Pelodiscus sinensis: one gene and its partners. The protein of the gene in region 3 interacts with the protein of the main gene of each other region in a biochemical or structural test. Links are inferred from orthologs where the notes say so. Each region holds a gene or a part of one and is shown on either strand. Other genes may lie near its edges.

Region 1 (7,580 bases), on a different chromosome or scaffold from region 3:
TGCTAACCTCACTATTTGATGAACAGGTTACTGGCACAAGTGAATAGATGTATTACTGTAATTTAAGTTTTAGCAGTCAGAGTTTTCACAGAAAGACTGGTTCTATAAAAAGGCATTCATTCAACTTGTGTTTGATTCGCAAACATTCACTTACACACTTTGTCTAGCAATCTCAATGTGAATAAAAATTGCATACCACCACTGAAAATGAGTGCAAAATGTAATTAACTATATTCTTGAATTTATTAATTCTAGAAAGACTTTGAATTTCAAACTGTTTTCTCCGCTATTCTCTAAAACTTGAGAGAGAGACTGATTTACACTAGAATCATTGGAAGTTTCTTAATTATTACAGTACTTTATGAAAAATTTTCACTTATTAAATGTCATCAGATTTTAACATACTGTTTTCACTGTGGATATAACATTGTTAATCCAAAACTAAGATATAATATTACTAATCCATGAACCTGATAAAGCTGACAAAATCCCAGTTGGCTCATTCTCCTTTATAACATTAAATATCTATGTGGCAAACTAAAACTATACCTGTCAAAATGTAGCCATCTGATTTAACAAGGTTCTACCAACCAGACAGCAGGTCAATTTAATAATGCCACACCTGATAATAAATCTTAACATGTCTTTTATAGCTTACCTATGTGATACAAAATGTTTGAAGCAATCATCCATAATAATAAATAAGTCAGGGTCTTATTTATCAACTCTGACCGTCAGTAAGTACTCTGATGCAGGGTCACAGGGAATGACAAGGAATTCCAGTCTTTAATAGGAATTACTAAAATTATGCATGTTTTGAGTAGGGATGTGAGCATACAGTCAAGTAAACAATTAACTGACAAGCAAGAGGCGGGGGGGGGGAGGGGGGAGTCGATGCCCATGAGGAGCTGGCTTTAGAATCCTCCAGCACACTTTTCTCCTTTCGTGTTAAAGCACAAGCCTTTCTTCTACTGTTAGCATGATTTTGTAATTCATAAGAAACTTCATTATGGATTTGGCTTATGAATTAGTGAAAATGTAGCATATATATCCTAAGACACAGGATGACACAAACCTGAGAACATTAGACAGCACTTTGATAATCAACGAGCAAAGGATATAATTGTCAAATGATCAGAAAATTAAATGAAAAGAAAATAAACTGAAATAAAATTAATACATAACCACCCCAGCAGTATTTAAAGCAACATTTTAAAGCACTTTTCGTCTTGTTCCCTCATCCTTACAATTCTAAATAGTTCCAGACAGAAACCATAACAAACACCTGCTGCCTTAAAGAATGTGTATTAGGGGGGGAAAAAAACACAGCAGAAGCAAGCTCCATTTGAACATGAAAGAAACCAGGCAACCTCCAAGGCAGCAGTTTAGATCTTGTTCTCAACAACCAAGAAACAAAAATGGAACAACCACTGAGGCCAAAATGAAACAAGAAAAATACTATAATGCCACTTTTCTCAAGAAAACAAAAACAACTATCAATATTCCCCCCCCCCCCCCCCCCCCCAAAAAAAAAGCAAAGGCAGGATGCTAGTCTCTCTAACCAAATAGCCATGTTTGGAGACAGAGTAATCTCAACAAGGAAAAAGAGTAAAAGAGTATTCTGCGTGTCTTTGACAATCACTGTAAAAATATCAAATTAAGTCCACCATGTCAAGATGTTCAACAATATTAAGACCCATCAGGAATTTGTTTTGTACTATCAGGGTGCGAGCAGACAAGGCCTGCTATTGTACATGTAGCCCCATTCCTCAAGAGTCACTATGTATTCAGAGGAGTGGATGAAACTATACAGTGTGACCCAAGAGTGGAGAATGATGCCTGCTATGTGCAGTGTAACTCAAGATGTAGCAGAGATGTGTAAAACGACTGCTGATGCACTGTACCACTATGGTGAGTCTACCATTATTACCTAACAAAAGCTGATTAGTCATATGCCACTGATTAACATCACACAGATTACAGGTGGAAGGTCATTATTCCGTATGGCCCAGTGGCGCTGATAAGGATGGCAGCTAGTCTTTATTGTGACTCAATGAGGAGCAGCTGGAGTGGGAAAGGCTTCTCCTCTTCTGCTGGCACCGATAGTCACTTGTAACCCCAAGAACGGTGAACAGGCAGAGGGAAACGGGAACTTCCACCCACTCCTGAAAGGGAGCAGGAGATTTGCTTGGGGAAAGGCTTGTCCTACTGATGGGACCTAGCGCCTGGTGAGTTCAGCGCAGCCCGGTGACTGACGACGGAGGTGCTCTGCCCCCCTCGACTACGAAGGAGGGGAAGCAGCACTCAGCTTCCCCTCAGCGAGACAAGAGCCTTTGTCTAGTGCCCCCGGGCCGGTGGCTAAGGGTGCTCCGACCCCACGAAAGGCATTCACCTCGGAAAGGGGGGTGTCCGGCACGAAGGCTCCCCCACGTCCCACGCAGGATTTGGGAAGGGCGGCCCACCCCACCCCACACTATGCGCCTCAGGATCCCGGCCTATGGCCCGGGGGCCTTCCCTGATGCAGCCACCTGGGGGTCCCAACCCCCCTGGGTCCGAGTCTCGGGGCCTCCGCCGGGCCGCCCGGCTAGTTGCTCCCGCATCCCCGGAAGGAGAACTGGGAAGCAGCAAGCCCAGCGTGGCCGCCGGTGAGCGCGGAACGGAATCGCTCCCGGCCCGGCGCTGCGAAACCCCCGCACTTACCCTGTCACAACAGGCGCCATCTTCCACAAACTCTCGCCAAAACTCCTACTCTCGCGAGAGCTGCCTCCTCCAGCCCAGGCCGAGTGCGCGCGTGCACGGGCCCGTGAGACACACACGCGGTCGCGGAGCGGAGAGAGTGGGGGAAGCGCGCCACCCCCTCATTCCCGGGTTCTCCCTTCAGACACAACAGCGGCAACAGGCGTGGGAACCTGCCCAAAACTCGCGAGAACTCTAGCAGCGGCCTGCTGGGCGCTAAGGGAGAAGCTGGACTAGTCTCGCGAGAGCGAAGGGAAGGCAAAGGGTGGGGGACTCCTTCGCGGCCGCGCTGCGCTGGGAGTGTTTGTTTCGGAGTCTCCTTGAGCCGAGGAGGAACAAACCACGCGCGGGAGAGGGGTGGGAGGGACCATTCGGGTGGGGCAGCCAGGATCCGTCCCCCAGGCGCTCCTCTGCCCGTGGCCGACACGCAGCGCGCCCCGGAGTGCTGAGCGGCCCCGGCCCGCGCCAGCCAGCGAGCGAGCGATCGCTGCCTTCCAGCGCTGCCCTCTCCGCGGAGCGGCCCGGGCCGCCTCCCCGCCTTGGGGGTCGCACGCTGGTGGCCGGTTAGCCGCTGCTGTCCCGCGCTTCGCAGCCCTCGTCTCCCCTGCCCGCCGGCTCCGTACCCTGCTGTAGGGACGCCCTCAAGCGCCCTGCCTGGCAGGGGTTGTGCGTCCTTCCTCACCCCCACCTCTGCGAGCCCACCCGGGGAGGGGGGGGGCTGTCTCCCCGCTTGTTTACAGACACAGGTAGAGAAATCCCAGGGTTGGGGGCCCCTTCGCAACTGCATTTTGGCTGCACTGAAAAAGGTAGAGAGCTGGCAAGAGAAGCAATGTCAGTACCAGGGTATTACATTGTCCACTCCTGACAATTCCTTGGCACTAGTGATTTAACAGAAAAGGGAAAATTCTGATTTGAGGCCCTGAGCTGGGCATTTAGCAATCAGAAAGGTCATTTGCAAAACTAAGGCCGGGTGTAAGCTGGGAGCTTATGTCAATTTGACTGTCTTAGGTTGATTTGCTAAACAGTGAAACCACTATGCCCATCCCAATTCTGTTGACTTTAAGTGCAGTTAAGGTCAATTTTGGAACTCCTGCTTAGAATGACACTAAATTTGACCTTGCATGGTCAACTTTATGGTAGTTCAGACACAATGCTGAGAAAGTCGTAGTTCAGGCATGACTAATCTAAACTTGAGAAGGAGCCAGAATTTTCTAATACACATTGCCAAAGAGCAGTTATATGTCACCAGCCCTGATCATGTCCTCACCACCACTGTCAGCACATCCCCCCACTCCCACTGATCAGAGCCTGTTCCTGCCCACTGTGATCAGCTCTTTCTGAATGGGAGACACTGGAGGGGAGAAGCATGGGTGTGACAGGTTCAGTGGAGAATGTGGGAAGTGGCAGGATCCTAGGAGAAAAGGGCAGAGGGGGACAGCACCTAGGGCAGAGTTGGGGATTGAACAGCCTCTGGACCAGTGGAAAGTTGGCACTTGCAGCTCCAGCACTGGATTTGGTACCTATGAAAGGAGTCCCATATTATCTTCTGAAGAGACACATGTGGCTCTGGAGCTACAGGTTGGCCACCCCTGTCAGGCTATGTCTACACTGGCGGGTTCTTGTGCAAGAACCCTCAGAGCATCCACACTGCCCACCTGCTCTTGTGCAAGAAGATTTACAGTATGGTGTCAGAAGAGTTACGCTCTTTTCTAACAAGTGTAAGCCCTCTTGTGCAACAGGGCAGTGTGGATACACGGCAGGGGCTTCTTGCACAAGAAAGCCCTATGGCTAAAATGGCCATCAGAGCTTTTTTGCGCAAGACAGCGTCCACACTGCCATGGATGCTCTGGCGCAAAAGCACATGGCAGTGTGGATGTGTTCTTGTGCAAGAACCCGCCAATGTAGACATAGCCCCATAGTTTTTGGCTTCTAGCATGCATCCTATAGTACCCCACAGTGTCCACTCTGGCCAGGACTTTCAACTCTACTGCTCTCCAAGGGTATGTCTACACTATCTCGTTAATTCGAGCTAGGTAGCCAAATCAGGCAACCGGAGTTGCAAATGAAGCCCAGGATTTAAATAAATCCTTAGTTCGGATTAACTGTTACACCTCATTCCATTCCATGAGGAGTAACAGTTAATCCAAACTAAGAATTTAGTTTGTATTAACTTTAAACTGTTGCGTGTAGCCGCAGGCAGTTCGTTCGAACTAAGGGGGATTTAAAAATGGCGTCCGGACAGGAACATGCAAATAAAGCCTGGGATATTTAAATCCTGGGCTTCATTTGCAACTCCAGTTGCCTGATTTGCCTATCTAGCTCGAATTAATGAGCTAGTGTAAACATACCCCAAGTGACCAGGAAAAGAACTGGAAAATTTTGAATTTCATTTCCAGTTTGGCTAGCAGACTTCAGAGCAGGCAGCACACCTGAGTAGCACACTTACCCACCCCACATTGATTTCTAGCTGACTGGTAGCTGTATGGCATTGCAAGCTTTCATAGGGCAATTGCCATTCACTTCACTGTCAGAGCAGATCTCATTCTGGTATTCTTGTGCTTCAGGGTGGGGGAAAGCCATATACAAACTTTCATGAGAGTGACCTTACATATATAAAAGTTTTGCAGCTCTTGCCAGTCATCCCATAACTATGCCATCCCACCATTATGTGCTTCTCCGATAGCACCAGAACCAATGTCCCTATGTGTCCAGAGAATTGAAAGTTGGCAGCATTTCCAGTTGCTCAACCCAAGTGCTTTGCAAAAGAATATGTTCATGGCCTGACGAGATTCTTCCTCGCTCCAGCGGACCCTGGACATGCTCTAAGATAAGGCTCACTCTGAGTAATATGATTATCGTAATGCTTTGATGCTCAACAGAATCCATGATGGAGTCCATGCTATGTGCTATATGTGGATAACAAGGGGAAAAAAGTGTGTGAAGTGATTGTTTACCACTGCTTTCAAGTGGTGGGGTGAAGGGGAGGAGATGAGTGCACTATGAGATGCTGACGACATATCCCCAGAAGCACTCACTGCATAGTTTTGGTTCCAGTTTACACTGGGAACATAACCCAGAATGCAAGGGGCGAAGTAACTGTGGGATAGCTAACCAGAATACATAACTCTCAAAACTGACAGTAGCCCCCATGTGGACATGCTACTTTGAATTGTGTCAAATTCATGTGAACAGTAGGAACATGGACCTTGACAAAATCAGGTGCTACAAAAAACTGACCTTAGTAAATTTGCTCTTATCTCATAGTGTAGACATGGCCTAAATGTGCAATTTAACTTTCCAGACTACTGGTGTGGAAGTTCATAACTAGCTCTTCTTTCACCCCGTCAGCTTTCTGCCTCTGTAGCATCAATAAGCCATCTAGCTTCACACTCAAATCCCCAATATTAATACAAATATCCAATATGAGAATGAGTTTATCACTACTTCAGTCTTTTGTAAGTATGTCAACCAGACCTGCTAAACTTTCCATCATCTTTGTAATGTAATTTTTGGTCTGCATCTTCAACTTGAGCGACGAGGAGTCCTGTGGCACCTTATTGTAAGGGGACTGTTACCCCTTACTAAAACTCTGTGGGAGTTTTTTGGTTTACCAGCTTCAGAAGGGGAAGGGTTCATGAGACTGACAGACCCCAGAGACAATGGAAAGCAGTCAACACTCCAGCTCAGCCTGACTGACAGGTTGTAAGTGGGGATTGTTCTGGCTCTGTCTCTGAACAAACAAGCTGTGTGCAGAAGAGGTCCTGCAAAGACAGAGAGCTGAAAGAGGAGTACAAGAAGAAGTCCTGCAGCGACAGAACCAGACACAGACAGGCCAAGCAGTGCAGACCCTGTGTTGAGCAGCAGACTGGCAGTGCTCAGAAAGCCAAAAGGAACAGAGAGGCAACACAAGGAGCTGGAACTGGCCAAGCAGCACAGCCTGCAGCTGGATGTGGTGAGCTACTGGGACCTGCAAAGTGTGGAGAAAGGCTCTGGACTGGGAGAGGGGTCTGGCCACTTAGAGACTGAGGCTGTGTGGTCACTGCCAGTGCAAGCGTGTCCAGCCTGCAGCCCCTTGCAGCACTTCCAGGGCTTCTAAGGAAGAGACTGTGGACTGTCCTTAAACTCTGCAGACTGCTGTTTTGATGTCCCTGTGCTACAGAGCAGGGCTGTGTGTTCTCATTTAACCATTCTCATTGTTTCTTATTCTATTCTCTTTAATCAGTTGATGTTTAATAAATTGTATTTGCTTTGAACCTTATGAAGTGATCACTGGGCCAAGAAGGCCTGCAGTGTAAAGAGAGCACTTCGGAGTGGGGACACCCTAACTCCTGCCCCTAGTGACTACAAGGTCAGGGGTTAAGCCCCAGGAAACCTGGGCCCAGCCTTGTTGGGGTTTCAAGGGCTCTGCTACTCAGGAGAGTGGAGGGGGAGCCCTCAGGATCAGGGAGCCGTGGGGTAAAGGAAGTGGGAGCGGGGACTCAGATCCTTTCGCTGGTTCATTTCACCGGGGTGTATAGAAGCCAGGAAAGTTCCCCACAAGAGCGGGACCATTCCCCCGCTTACATTATGTTTGACTAACTGAAGTGTTGGAGCATAAGCTTTTGTGGGCAAAGACCCACTTCATCAGATGCATGTAGTGGAAATTTCCAGGGGCAGGTATAAATATGCAGGCCAGAATCAGGCTGGAGATGACGAGGTGGATCCAATCACCGAGGATGAGGCCCACTGCTAGTAGCTGATCTGGAGGTGTGAATTCCAAGAGAGGAGAAGCTGCTTTTGCAGATTCAGACTAACACGGCTACCCCTCTGATATCTTCAGCTTGCTAATGCTAATAAAATGTAGT
Region 2 (7,365 bases), on a different chromosome or scaffold from region 3:
TTTATGATTACTACTTTTGGCTGTGCCTTGAATTAAAGATTCGTAAATGGGTCCTTGTAAATATTTCTCCCACCCATTTCATCTTACGTAAAAATTAGATTATGTATGTGTATAACTGGAAAGGCGACTGATTAATGCCAAGAGGCTTCTTGAAAAGACCTCAGTTTAACAGTTTTTATGGAATTTAGGATACAGTTTACAACCTTTATTTCAATGAAGACTGTGGGTTACTTTTTAAATAGTTGTTCTGCTACACTACATTTCCCTGCTCCTTAGCTACATTATACCGAGCATTCTCAAGACCTCAAAACAAGTTAAATAATACTTTATTTAACAGTACAGCATCACACCCAATAATACTAGTGAGAAGAGAGGAGGTTACTCTTTTGAAGACTGAACTATTTTTAAATGGGTAGAGTGGGATCAGAGTATCAGTCACGATTAGCTCACATCTATCAGGAAAAGTGGCAAATCATCAGCTGCCAGTCGAGCACAGCTTCATTTAGCTCTTTGCAAGGATGGTGTAGTATTATTGGGTGTTACTATTTTGAAAAGCAGAAAGCTTCTAGTTAGTCAGAACCATCTCTACCGATCAACAAGAACCATGGTAAACAGTGGTATCGCCCATCTCCCTTCTTGTTCACTTCCAAAAAAATATGACAGTCACAGAACAAGCACTACCCCGGGTTGCTCTTACAGAGACAACTATAGGTCAATAAGCCAGAACCATAAATAGCCCGGCTACATGGAGCACAGTTCAAAGCTGCTAAAACATCTGTGATTTTTCTAAATAGAAACTACTCCTGTCCCTCCCCGTCGCTAGGCTTCTGCCTGCGGTGTCAGGACCGGACGAGGGCAGTCAGGGCAGGAATAGCCAAGCGAGGAGTTTTCGTATGGACTGCCCAGAGACCTAACACGAACTCCTGCCAGTAAGGGCTGGGGGGCTCTCTCCCCTAGACCAGCCCAGAGGAGGAAGTAGTTCTGCCAGTTGGGCACCGTCTCACCCACCCCGCCTCGCGAACCAGCTGCTCCTTACCGCGATCAAGGTGCTGCTGCGGCCGTGCTGCTCGGTGCTCGCGGCGTCGGCGTCCAGGCCGTTGGCTCCAGCCCGGTCGGCGCTGCCCGCAACCCCAGCCGCCGGAGGAGGGGGGGCGGGCGGCGGCGGCGCCGGGGGAGGCTGGCGGTGCTTCCCGGCCCGCTTGGCCTTGGCCTGCAGGCAGCGCTGGTGCAGGGCGAAGGTTTGCTGTCGCTCCAGCTCCAGGCGCTCCGGGGACACGGCCTGGTAGCGGGACTCGCAGGCGCTGTGGTGCCGCCGGCAGAGCTCGATGCGCCGGCGGAGCCGCTCCATCACCGCGCTGTGCCGCGGCACCACGAACTCCGCCATGGGGCAGGGGGGCAGCACCATGGGCCGGGCACCGAGGGGGCCGCTGCCGCTCAGCGGCTCCTCACGCCGGCCCCACCATGGCCAGGGCGAGACCGGGGCTCCCCTCGAACCCTCCCCAGGCTGCCCTGAGGCCTCGCCCCCTCCCCAAGCGGGCTCCCTTCAGGCCTCGCCCACCCCCCCACTTCCTCCTCTTACGCCCCGGCCCGACTCCGCTCCCCGCGCCCCACTTCCTCCTTCGCCCCGCGGCCGCTTCCCCCCCCCTCAGCCCGGCCCGGCCGGAGCCCGCGCCACTTCCCTCAGGCGCGGCGGCCGCCTCGCTGAGGCCCACAGCCCGGACTCCCCATTGTTAGCCGCGCGGCCGCCATCTTGGAACTGCTTTTCCCCTTAAGAGCCGAGTTCAGACTGACTAGGCGGGGCTTCCTGGGTGGTGTCTGACGTCAGGCGCACGGAGGGCGCCGCGGGAGATGACGGACATCTTGTCCAGCCCACCAGCTTGCCCGAGGAAGGAACCAGGGGCGGGGCCTAATGACGATCCTGTAGGCGGTGCCCTTTCACTGCATTTAAAAGGCATCGACGAGGAAGAGGCGGGGGCACGTTGAAGACAGCCAATGAGAAGCGAAGGGCGGAGCTGTGAGTGACAATTCGGTGGTCCCTGCTCGGGCCAATAGAGGGCCGGTATCCCTTCCCCCCCAGCGTCCAGGCCTGATGAATGAAGAACTAAGGAAGTGGGCTAGAACTGGCCACTGGGTGGGGAAAAGCGGGGATTAACCAAACCGGCTGATAAAACACTCAAGCCTATGACAGACAGCGCTGTTCCACTAAGGCAGATGTTTAAAAAATTAGACTAACCCAGCCATAGGTATAGGCACTAACTAGTAACAACTGGCTCCGGAAAAGGTCACAACTAGGGCTATAAGCCCTTGCTGCCTCTCTGGGGAGGAGAGGAAAAAGAGATGGAGGCAAAAAAGCAGGAGCTGGCTTAAAAGCCAGTTCTCCTCCAGGAGCTGGGGGGTGGTGAGAAGGGGCAGAAGTGCAACAGGATACTGGAGGAACTTCCACCTTTCAAAAGCAGGGAGCATAGGACCAGTAGGGAACTGCTTGAGCCCCTGCTCACTATGGTGCTTCTGCCTTTTAAATGTAGCAAGAGCCAGCAGGGTTCTTGCTACATTTCAAAAGAGAGAACAACCCTTATCGACTAATCAAATAGTTTATGCAAATTCCATCCACTATTCCATTAGGTGATTAACATCCCTAGTCTCAACTAGGAACTCAAGCCCCTTCTAGTATGTTTCTACTAAAGCCTTATTGGCAGTGTTTGCACCGGTCTTTCATCCTTGTGCAGTTTTCGCCATCCACATCAAGAATACTTTTTTACATGTGCAGGCCTGCCAAGGGGGTGAGGGATAAAAGGGGCCCAGAGCTCCTGGCTGCTGCTGGATGGTCAGAGGCCCAGGCCCTTTAAATCACCAGCACAACTCTGCCCAGTATGTTCCAGAGATGCTGAGTAGGGGACATGGTCCAGACAGCACCAGGGGGAAGCTGCTGCTGCTTCTGGGAGCACAAATCCCTCCCCCCCTTCTGCAAACCACCTTGGCTAAAGGACCCAGCGAGTGTCAGCTCACCTGTTTGTGCAAATGTGCACCTATGGGCAGACTGCTCATCAGCCAGGTAAAACTGGAATCTCCTGCATACTTGCACAAGTTACAGGGAACAACTGACCAGTTTGCCCTATGCTACTCATCAGTGCTCCAGGACGACCCCCCCCCCCCAAAAAAAAACCCCACACACCTCCACAAAAATCAGTAATAAGGTTCCACTCCACAAGTATTAGAGTAGTAAAAAAGGAAGATGAGAGCACTACTAGAACAATCTTGATCAGTTGGTAAAATAGGTGAAACAGAAGCATGTACTCTCAGATAACTAAATGTAAAAGTGAACATCAAGGCCAAAAAAGCGCCCAACAAAAACGAGATCACAATGCATGGTACTTTTTAGGGTAGAGTTTTCTACCTTAACTGAAATAAGTTGGGGGGTAGAAGAGGGGGAGTAATGGTGGATTATCAAATTAACATCAACTCCTCTGCAATAATTGTGGCAAAGGAGGGGGGGGCCCTAATGTGATCCATAGGTGCATAAAAAAGGGCAATAAATTACACTTCTATTTGGCCTGAAAACAACTACTGCTGGAATGTTATTACTGGTGCTGATGTCTACAATTCATATAAGATGTTGGAATAAGGGTGTCATAAGAATGGTTAATGGGCTAGGAAAAAAACATAATAAAGGACACCAAGCTCATTTACTATAGAGCAGTTTTTAAGTACCACTGCAGAGAAATACTTTACAATAGGCTCTTCAATCTAGCAGCAAAAAAGGGTATATAATCCAATCCATTGGCTGGAAGCTGAAGCTAGACTAATACAGTTAACGTGCAAGTGTTTAACTGAGGATAACCAACCACTGAATAATTTACCAGAGGTAGTAACAGAATATAACACTAGCAAGTTTAAAATCAGGATTAAAGTTTTTCTAAAAACCATATAGTAATTATTTCAAGGAAGTTCTATCACTTCTGTTATACAAAAAGCTCTGACTACATAACCACAAAGGTCCCTTCAGGCCTTGGAATCTATGAATTTATATACTACTTTTCTTGAAAAGAAGCTCTGAACAGTGGAATCTGTATTCCAAAGTTGAGTCAGAAGAATTTACAGTATGGGAATACAGAGAACAAACCTTTTAGCAATGTACAGAAATGAACTATTCATACCATATGTTTTACTAGATTATGGGTTGTAATACAAGATTGTGCAGATGACCTATGAAAACTGTCATGACAAATGTTTTTTAAACTTGATAAGTATTGTATTTGGTGTGCCACTTGAAATGGGAGCATGTGTACATTCAAAAATTCTTGAGATTTCAAAAGTACTAAATTTACTAAGATTAAAGTATCAGCCAGAACCATGCATAGTAGAAGGTAGAGGAGTACTTACTGGTTCCTGCAACAGCATTATTATGAACTGGATAAGGACAAAAAAATACCATGAGCAGTAATCGATAATGAACCTAAAAAAGCAACATTTATAGAATAAACTGACAAGGGAAAAAACAGCAACCCTCAGAAAATCCACCAACTATGGTCAAAAAGAACAGATTCTTGATAATCGAAATCACAGCTGCAGTAATACAATTAAAATACCGAAGGACTATGACAGAGTTGTTGTGGATCCAAATCCCAGTCCTCTTCTAAAGTAAGTTACTAAACAAGTCAGGCACAACCTGAATACAGTTATATGGTTTGTAAAATTGATGACAAAGTATCTAGATACTGATTTTGTTTATTAAGGGCATATTAAATTTATTGGTGTTTTAAAAAAAATAGAACTTCCAAAAACTTGTTAAGCTTAACCCCTCTTAGCAGCAGTAGTGGCAAATTTATCAAGACTGGTGGCAGCAGATGAAAGAAAAAAAACTGATTCAAAACCCAGCAGTAACCCCCTAGTCTTAGATTTTTGATAGCTATGCAGGACAGATAGCTCAGGTGCTTCTAAAAACAGTCAAGTAAAAAAAAACTCGTCTCTAATTAGCATGGAACTTACAAATGGCTTACCCCAGTCAGGTTTTCACAAGTTCTGAAGTTTAGAAATTTTATACTTGCTACCAAGACTACTAAGAACATTATGGGAGGCATAGTCTTGAGAGGGTGTGTTACACAGCCCAAGCTAAGGTGAATCAAGAGGCAAAAGAGTTCAATTCACATCCTAATCTCTTCATCCAGCTCTTCTCCAATGAAAAATGTTTCATGTGGTATTAAGTTTGAGAAATTTGAGTCTCCAAATTTAAGCTCCGAGTCGGTTACTTGTAACTAGAGGTTCTTCAAGATGTGTGGTCTCTATCTGTAGTCCAGTGAATGTTTACATATGCATATTATTCATCCAGAGCTGGATAATTTAAAATTAGTAGTCTCTTGGTTCATGTATGCAACCTGAACTCACCTCATGGGTTTTGTCACAGGTGAGAAAGAGCAGGGTAGACTAAATGCATCTCCTGCACCTTCTCTACTTCAACAGATTCCCAGCAGAGGGGAAAGAGGGCATGAAGTAGAATACAAACAGGGACCACACATCTCAAAGAACCCATAGTTGCAACATACAGGTAAGTAATCTCTTCAAAAGAGATGGTCTCCTATTGTAGTCCATTCAGGAGCTCTAGTTAGTACCCCAATTGGAAGAGAAAAGGTGAGGGAGAAGGCATCTGTTGGGGATTCCTGTTACAATGCATAATGCATATCAAAAGGTGTGAACAGAACTCCTCCATATGATATCCCTTAGTGGCACTTAGTGGAAGGAGGGCCCTGGTCAAAGCCTAAGATTTTGATGAGAGGGCCTGCATCTTTGTGGGTTAGCTAGAGGTTGGATAATTGATAAAACTGTAATGCAGCCCCAAATCCACTTGTCATATGGAGACTACCCACCCCTTAATTCTTTCAAATATTACAAAAAAGCAGCCTGGGAGACTCTCCTGATTGGTTTCATCTGTGGAAAGTAAAAGGTAAGGCCCAGCATCTAGCTAGTGGAGTCTCCATTCCCCTTCCAATGCATGCAGTTTCAGTAAGAAAACAGGATGATTAACATGCAATTGGGAAATAACCTTTGGCAAAAGTTTGGGTTGAAGATGTATGGATAAAGTATCCACACACAGTGTTGTGAAAAGGTGGCCTACTATCACAGCCCTGAGCTTGCAAACCACTCACACACAATCCATCAGGAAGACAACTTTCGTAAAAAATGAGGGGCAACGAGCATGACATCTGCAACTCAAAGGGCAGTTTTGTTCATGTATATAGGGCCAGGTTATGATCCCATTGGAGATAATGGATTGTATAGGTGTGAAAAGTTCTAGAGGCCCTTCCAAAATTTAGCCAGCCAGCCAATGTGAGGGTAAAGATTGAGTGCCCTTAACATTGGGGGGCAAAGAGGCACTAACTGCTGCTAGTTAGATCTTGATAAAACCAAGGGCAAGACCTGGCAACCTTAAAGGACAAGAGATACTCTAGGACAATGGGAACCCTAACTCCTTCTGAGGAAGACTTTTGCACCCAGGAGGCAAAGTGCCTCCATATGGCTCAGTACCTACACCTAGTGGAGTCCTTCTTGCCACTGGAAAGGGTATTTTGTATTTGTGAGGAACACACACATTCAAGATGATGCCCATCCAAATACAATGCTGAGGGGAAGCACCCATGGAGTGGGATGGCTGATGGAACGTTTGTATCGGTAGACTGAGGAAAGGAATGGGGAAACGGGCATGAAGACATGTGACGGTTAAGAAAGCAAAACCGTCTGGGCTAGCGGGGGACTATCAAGATGACTGTCGCTTTCTCCTATTTGATCTTGGTGTAGTACCCAAGGTAGGAGCAGGAGAGAAGGTAAGAGGTCATAACCGAACAGGGTAGGATGAGAGCATAAATGCCAAGAGTGCTGAGCCAGACCTCCACTTAAGCAATATGCGTTCAGAGAGGATGCAAAGGAAGTCCGTGGTCAGAGGTCCACATTTGTTGAGACCTGTAGTAAGTTGTTGCAGAGTTCCCACATGTAGTTGATCATGAGCCGTCTCCTGAGCAATTCTGCAAATCACTTGAGGTTTCCTGGGGGGGGGGGGGGGGGGGGGGGAAGAGCTTGCAGAAAAGATTATCTAGAGGTGCATGCACCAGTTTCAAAGGGTGACTTGCTTCTCAGCACTTCAGTGGTTGCCCTTTTGCCTGTTTGTTGATGTAGCTGTAAGCACACCATTGTGGTAATGTCCAACAAAAAAATAAAGTGAGAACAGATGCCGCAGACAAAGGCCTGGCATGTTGATGTGGATTCTGGATTCCTGAGGGCTCTATTATTCCCAAGTCATATGTACATCCATATGCACACCCCGGCCTAGAAGGGAGGTGTCTGTGATGATAGTCCTTTTCAGGAAGGGAGAGCAGA
Region 3 (7,341 bases):
GCAGCCAAGTTATCTGCAGACAAGTTCAGATTACAGAGGCGGCTCCCAACCTTGTTCCCAGCCAGCTCGCAGAGTTTCTATCCTTTCCCACTCCCCCCCATCCCTCACCACATACTGCTCCTGTCCTGACTACAGAAAACCCTCCTGAAACTCCTGCTGAATTGTCTGGCTGTTCAGATATTCATGATTTAAAAAAAAAAAAAAAAAAGGAAGAAAAAAAAGGACAAAAAGCGGCTACAGACTGTCCTACTGAGGGAGAACAGAGCCATGGGCGCGCACTCCCCTCCTTGCGCGTGGGAAAAAGCGACAGCTGCAGAGCACAGCCTTCCTTGCCTGCTAACAAAGGGGGAAATCAGAGCGACCCATTGTAAAACGCTTGTTGCATTATTTACTGTAGGGCAGCTCTCAATCCTGTACGGCCCTGGATACTCAATACCTGCTGCCTGAAAGATCTGATTGAGTCAACCAGCCGCCCCCCGGCCCTGTTTTACTTTGGGGAGGAGGGAAGGAAGCCAGTTTTGGGTCGCGTATGCAAAGTGAAGTGAAACCAGACAGCCCCAAATGTACCTACCCAGGGCTCTTCCAGGAAGGCTGGGTGACACCCTTGCTATGACTAAGCCTTTTGACTTTATAGTGTAACGCTGATGAACACAGCGGAAGGCAACTCCAGGCAGAGAGCAATAGGGGTCCCCATACTTAGTCCTGCACTCCCTGGCCTGCACGCTCCAGAATAAAAACCTCTGTCTCGCTTCTGTTTAAAAATCATTGGGGACAGATCCAACCGGGCACCCTTTTTTTTTTTTTTAAAGCACATGCTAGAGCAGCCTGCAGGAATGGCACACGGCTATACAGGCTGGACTCATTTCTTACCTCCCCCCGCTTCCTCCCCGCAGGCTGCTTTCCCCTAGTAACCTCCCTTGATTGTATCAGTGGCCCTGGTTTCAGTGGGAATCAGGGTGGCAGACGCCAACCCACTCATCCAAGTTAGCAGCCAAACACAGGAGCTGCACTTTTTCCGCCTTACAAAGCTAGTGAGAGGACTCACATTGTTTTGGTTGGTCTCTAAAATGCCACAGGCCTAGTCCTTGTTTCTAAAGTTACAGACTTCACATGGCTCCCCCGCGCTGAGACTTTTTACCCACGTGATTAAATGCTACCCCCATATTTATACTCTTAGGCAGTGTTTTTGGTTGCTTATTTTTTCAGTGCTGTGAGGATTAAGGCAGGGAAGTGGTGCATTTTCAAGCAGACTCATCATCACCTTATCTCCCCATGTTAAGGGGATTATTTTTAAAAAATATCTTCCTACTCTTTCCTCTCACCTAGGTGAAACTCGCGCATCTTTCACTTTGGGGCCTTTTTGACGAAAAGAAGAATTGCTACACAAGTTTCCATTTGATTGTTTCCCCAAAGGTTACTGCCGTGTACAAGAAACAAAACGGCTTCTGACATCCGCCCCCAAACTTGCAAGGAAGGGCTGAGAGAACAAGAAATCTGACGTAGATTCAAGAAACAGGAAATAAAAAATTAACAAGGCTCTCAAAAAATAAAAAAAAAAGCAGCCCATCTCCGGCTTGCTCATTACATACCCCAGCCTTTAACAGAACACATCTTATCTGAAGAAGTGGGTTTTGCCCACGAAGGCTAGTGACTCTAGACATACATGTTTGCTAGTCTCTAGGGTGCCACAGGGCTACTTGTTGCTTTTTTAAAAGTTGTTTTCAAAGTTACAGACTAACACGGCCACCCCTTGGAGACTTTTACACAAGGAAAAGAGTCACTTTCTGAACTTTGCAACATGAAATATTCCACTGCCCAGAAAAAGAAATTCATACCAAAAAGCCCCTTCACTATTCACAGTATCCTGAGATCAGTTCTCCAAAGTAACCCCCTCCACACACACACACACACACACACACACACACACACACACACACACACACACGGTTTGTGTCACACACACACACACACACACACACACACACACACACACGGTTTGTGTCACACACACACACACACACACACACACACACACACACACACGGTTTGTGTCACACACACACACACACACACACACACACAGTTTGTGTCACAAAAACTGTCACGCTATCCAGCCCTGTGGTGGCAACTTTTAAAGGTTTGCTTCTCTCGGGAGATCTCTAGAGAATAAAGTTTTAAGAGAACTTTCTCTCTCTCTCTCTCTCTCACACACACACTTCACCGCTCCCCAGGATTGTTTCTAAGCGGAGGGAGTTACACACACTTGATTCCCCGCCCTGCCAGCCGCACACCTCTCAGGTGGGTTGTGATCTTTTAAAATCCAAGGGCTCGGGGAGGAAACGGATTCCCTCTCCGAGGGCAGCTGGTGGCAGAGAGCAATGCACCACATACAACGAGTGCCCCACGGAACGCAACTCTCCCCCCACATAAGAAGGCAACTCCCCCCCCCCCCCGTCAGCCTGAGCTGAGCCGAGCCGCAGCCCTTTGCAAAGGGGTTCACCTGCGCTTCAGGCTGAGCCCCGGCTTCTCAGGGAAGCCCCCGCCAGGAGGGAGCTCTGCCCGGTTCGGAAGCCCCCTGTCCCCGCGCCTGGCTGCACCGGAGCCGGGCAGGGGAAGACGGGACACAGAAAGGGGGGAGGAAAGTTTCTCCTTCGCCAGCGAGGGACTCCCCGGCTCCATCTCCAGGGGCGCCCCTCACTTCTGCCCCAGCCCACGCGGGCCCCCGGCCGGCCCCTACCTCGGCTGAGCGCGGGCAGCAGGGACAGCAGCAGGCTCTGCACCAGAAGCAGCTGCATTCCTCCTCTCCGGGCTCCACGCGGGCGGCTCTCGCGGCGCGGCTCCTGGCCCCCCTCTCACAGCCGCATCGACCCCCCCAGCCGGCCGGCGGGCGTGCAGGGCCCCGCCCCCCCAAAAGGCTCAGGCGGCCCCCGAGATCCGCTCCGCGGGAGGACGGCGCGGGGCGCAGAGACGCGGAGAGCGCGGCGCGCCGTGCGAGCTCGGGCTGCGAGTCCCCGAGCGAGGAGGAGGCGGCGGCTCCGAGCCGCGTTCTCCTCCCATTCCCCCCCCCCCCCGCCCCCCGCCCCTGGTCCTTCCGCCCAGGTGCCCCGAGCTCAGCCAGCCGCCCGGCCGGGGGGGGGGGAGCGGCCCCCGGGCTGCGAGGGGGCGGGACAGTGGTTGGGCAGCTGGTCCTCAAGCCCCTGCGCTCGGGGGGGGCTGCGCCGCGTCGGGACCTTTCCCAGGCTGCTGGAAGTTGGGTGTTTGTGTGTGTGAGTCTGGGTGTGAGAGAGAGTGTGTGTGTGTGTGTCTGCGTGTGAGAGAGAGAGTGTGTGTCTGTCTGCGTGTGTGTGTGTGAGAGTGTGTGTGTGTTTGGGTGTGAGAGAGAGAGTGTGTGTGTCTGCGTGTGTGTGTGTGAGAGAGAGTGTGTGTCTGTCTGCGTGTGTGTGTGTGAGAGAGAGTGTGTGTCTGTCTGCGTGTGTGTGTGAGAGAGTGTGTGTGTGTGTCTGGGTGTGTGTCTGGGTGTGAGAGAGAGTGTGTGTGTGTGTGTCTGCGTGTGAGAGAGAGAGTGTGTGTCTGTCTGCGTGTGTGTGTGTGAGTGTGTGTGTGTTTGGGTGTGAGAGAGAGAGTGTGTGTGTCTGCGTGTGTGTGTGTGAGAGAGAGTGTGTGTCTGTCTGCGTGTGTGTGTGTGAGAGAGAGTGTGTGTCTGTCTGCGTGTGTGTGTGAGAGAGTGTGTGTGTGTGTCTGGGTGTGTGAGAGAGTGTGTGAGTCTGGGTGTGAGAGAGTGTGTGTGTGTGTCTGTCTGCGTGTGTGTCTGGGTGTGAGAGAGTGTGTGTGTCTGGGTGTGAGAGAGAGTGTGTGTCTGTCTGCGTGTGTGTGTGAGAGAGAGTGTGTGTGCGTGTCTGGGTGTGAGAGAGAGAGAGTGTGTGTGTCTGCGTGTGTGTGTGTGAGAGAGAGTGTGTGTGTCTGCGTGTGACAGAGAGAGTGTGTGTGTGTGTCTGGGTGTGTGAGAGAGTGTGTGTGTGCGTGTGAGAGAGAGAGTGTGTGTGTGAGTCTGGGTGTGAGAGAGTGTGTGTGTGTGTGTGTCTGTCTGCGTGTGTGTGTCTGGGTGTGTGAGAGAGTGTGTGTGTGTGTGTGCGTGTGAGAGAGAGAGTGTGTGTGTGAGTCTGGGTGTGAGAGTGTGTGTGTGTGTGTGTCTGTCTGCGTGTGTGTGTCTGGGTGTGTGAGAGAGAGTGTGTGTGTGTGCGTGTGAGAGAGAGTGTGTGTGTGAGTCTGGGTGTGAGAGAGTGTGTGTGTGTGTCTGTCTGCGTGTGTGTGTCTGGGTGTGTGAGAGAGAGTGTGTGTGTGTCTGTCTGCGTGTGTTTGTGTGAGAGAGTGTGCGCGCACATGTGTGTACACGCGTCTGTGTGAATGTGTGTCTGCGTGTGTGAGAGTGTGTATGTGTCTGTGAGAGTGTGTGCGCACGTGTGTGTACATGCGTGTCTGTGAGAGTGAGTGTGTGTGTGTGTGTGTGAGTGTTTGTGCATGATGTGTCTGTGAGAGTGAGTGTATCTGTGTGTGTATGTGTGTTTGTGCGTGTGTGAGTGTTTGTGCATGATGTGTCTGTGTGAGAGCGCGTGTGTATGTGCCTGTGTGTGAGAATGTGTGAGTGTATGTGTCTAAGTGTTCATGTGTGTGCGCACGTGTGTACACGTGTGTCTGTGAGTGAGTCTGCATGTCTGCGTGTGTCTGAGTGAGTGTGTGTGTGTGTGTGTGTGCACGTGTGTCTGTGTATGTGTGGGGCAGGAGCTGGGTGCTGCTAGAGGCTGGGTGTGTCTGTGTATGTGTGTGTATCAGTTACTTGGAGTGGGAAGAAAGTAGAGCCCCCCACAAGGTCTGTGGGACTAGTCCCTGAGGGCCAGACAGGGTGACGGATCTGGGACAGTATTCAAATACAGGCACAAGGATGCACTCAAAAAATGTGCACTCAACCCCTGCACCTCCCAGAGCCTGCTTGGTGCATGCTGCCTATCAGGGCAGGTAACTCGGTGGGGGCTGTTATGAGAGCCAGGAGGTTTGCCTGCCTTGCTGACGGGCTAGTCCAGTGTTTCTTAAACTATGTTCCGTGGAACACTGGTGTCCGTGAACAACTCGTCAACTCTTCTTTGTTTTTGTTACTTATTTGTTTTTGTCTTTTTTTGTCTGACAACAAATTGGTGTTCATAGGTGTTCTGCATAAAAAGTATTATTGTTTGGTTTTCCGTGGTCTCAAAAAGTTTAAGAAACACTGGGCTAGTCAGTCGGGGGGGGGGGGGGGGGGGGGGGGAGAGGTCTGTTAAGTTGTCCAGGGGCTGCGTTTTCACAGGCTCCGTGGATGCAACCTGCATTTTTGCAGGTGCAGTGCGAGCAGCTCCAAGTTTGGCAAATGCAACAGGTGAATAAACAGATCTGTGAAGCCACCTTTTGTGTCAACCTTGGAAAAACTGCCCCTCTAAGTCTCCCAATCTCAGCCACCTTTGAGGCTCCCCGATCTTGTCTGAGTGGTCGACTTTTGCTCCTGGAATGCTCTAGGTGACAAACAGTGAAGTGAAGGACCAAAACAATCCGAACAAAGATGTATTCACCCCCAGGCGCCTGCCTATTGGGAATGCGTGGACCAGAGGGAAGAAACCGAGTGAGGCCTGCCTGTTTATTTCCTTTGTGCTGTAAACTTCTGAACTTTCAACCCAAACTCTGGCCAACAATAAATAAAAAAGCAGCTAATTAAATAAAAGACGGCCTGGAAGCCAACTCCAGAGGCCAGAGGGGAAAAAAACCCAGGTTGAGTAAATTTTCAGCCAGTGCAACATTAAATTCTGGCTGCTGCCATGTGCCAGTGCTACCTCTGTATTTTATTCTGAGGACCCTGTTCCTCTAGCTCTCCCTTACACTAACAAACCCATCTCAGGCCCTGGTCATCCAAGGGAGAGATGTCTCTGGAGTCAATAGGATTTCTGTCTGGGGCAGGATGGGTTCTTAAATGTGATCACCTGTAGGATTTAACGATGATACTAAGAGTTGAATTCAGTCACATGTCCTGCCCCACCTTAGCACCTCTCAGCAATTATTATGCAGTCCCAGCCATCTGTCTAGGTGCCTAAATTCGAGGCCCTTGTGTTTGAAAATGTGGGCCAAAGTCTGTCTCTATAGTGAACTTTTCCCTTCACCTGTCCCACTATTACACCATGGCTGTGTCTACACTGGCATGAATTTCCGGAAATGCTTAAAACAGAATAGTTTTCGTTATAAGTATTTCCGGAAAAAGAGCGTCTACATTGGCAGGCTGCTTTTCCAGAAAAGCCCTTTTTCCGGAAAAGCATCTGTGGCCAATGTAGACGCGCTTTTCCGGAAAAGAGCCCCGATTGCCATTTTCGCGATCGGGGCTTTTTTCCGGAAAAGACTACTGGGCTGTCTACACTGGCCCTTTTCCGGAACAGTGTTCCGGAATAAGGACTTATGCCCGAGCGGGAGCAGCGTAGCTTTTCCGGAATAGCAGCTGATTTTGTACAGTAGAGCGTCGTTGCTTTTCCGGAAATTCAAGGGCCAGTGTAGAGAGCTCGCAGCTTATTCTGGAAAAGCGGCTGATTTTCCGGAATAAGTGGCCCAGTGTAGACACAGCCCACCAGTGAAGTAGTACTAACAGTGCCGGCAAGGGTGGGAATGCGCATGTTCCCTCTCCCCTTCTACTGTGTTGCTCAGTCCTGCTTGGATGGTGGCAAAAATACCAGTGCCTTGTCTACATTAGTGCTTCCTCTTTTGCTCCCACATCACTGGCTAGTGCAACCGTGGGAAATGTGGAAGAAAAACTCGCTGTGTGCAAGGCCCAAGGGATTCGCCCAAGGTCATGCAGCAAGTCAGTGGCAAAGTCAGGAAAGATGCATAGGCTCTCATCTCTGGGCTCAACCCACTAGTGTACAGCTCTGTCTGTTTGCAACCTGGCACTAATCTTTCAATGAGATCCACCACCGCAAACAATGATATATGAAGATAGCTTGTGAAAGCATCCTGGGGCAGGGTTGGGCCTGCAGGGTCGGATAGCAAAGCATTTCCGCCATGCGATGGGCTGACGATCATTTCAGGGGAGTCCAAGTGAAAACAGGACCGATGCATTGTCCTGAGCCAGCTGTAGCTCTTTTGTCCCTCCTTTGTCTCCAAATCATGGAGTCCTAGAACTGGAAGGAACCTGGGGAGGTCAAATGCAGTCTCCTGCCCTCATGGCAGGACTCAGAATCAAGACCATCCCTGACCGATGTTTGTCTGCTCTTAAAAATCACCACAGATGGAGATGCCACAACCTCCAGAGGCAATTTATTCCAGTGCTTCACCAGC

What was found.
Region 1: the proteins of NOTCH1 (region 3) and RBPJ form a complex in vitro, tested with the Homo sapiens proteins (5 studies listed by BioGRID and IntAct, with this or other methods). The link is inferred for Pelodiscus sinensis from reciprocal best matches to the Homo sapiens genes NOTCH1 and RBPJ.
Region 2: the proteins of NOTCH1 (region 3) and MAML1 form a complex in vitro, tested with the Homo sapiens proteins (2 studies listed by BioGRID). The link is inferred for Pelodiscus sinensis from reciprocal best matches to the Homo sapiens genes NOTCH1 and MAML1.

The regions. Positions count from the first base shown.
Region 1 is NC_134715.1:101,460,289-101,467,868, forward strand, and holds the start of RBPJ (recombining binding protein suppressor of hairless), read right to left. Parts: upstream 3,018-7,580; 5' UTR 2,721-3,017; coding exon of another isoform or gene 2,701-2,720; intron 1-2,700. UniProt on the Homo sapiens protein: Transcriptional regulator that plays a central role in Notch signaling, a signaling pathway involved in cell-cell communication that regulates a broad spectrum of cell-fate determinations.
Region 2 is NC_134727.1:34,213,648-34,221,012, reverse strand, and holds the start of MAML1 (mastermind-like protein 1), read right to left. Parts: upstream 3,018-7,365; 5' UTR 1,406-3,017; coding exon 1,037-1,405; intron 1-1,036. UniProt on the Homo sapiens protein: Acts as a transcriptional coactivator for NOTCH proteins. Has been shown to amplify NOTCH-induced transcription of HES1. Enhances phosphorylation and proteolytic turnover of the NOTCH intracellular domain in the nucleus through interaction with CDK8.
Region 3 is NC_134732.1:20,255,683-20,263,023, reverse strand, and holds the start of NOTCH1 (neurogenic locus notch homolog protein 1), read right to left. Parts: upstream 3,021-7,341; 5' UTR 2,796-3,020; coding exon 2,738-2,795; intron 1-2,737. UniProt on the Homo sapiens protein: Functions as a receptor for membrane-bound ligands Jagged-1 (JAG1), Jagged-2 (JAG2) and Delta-1 (DLL1) to regulate cell-fate determination.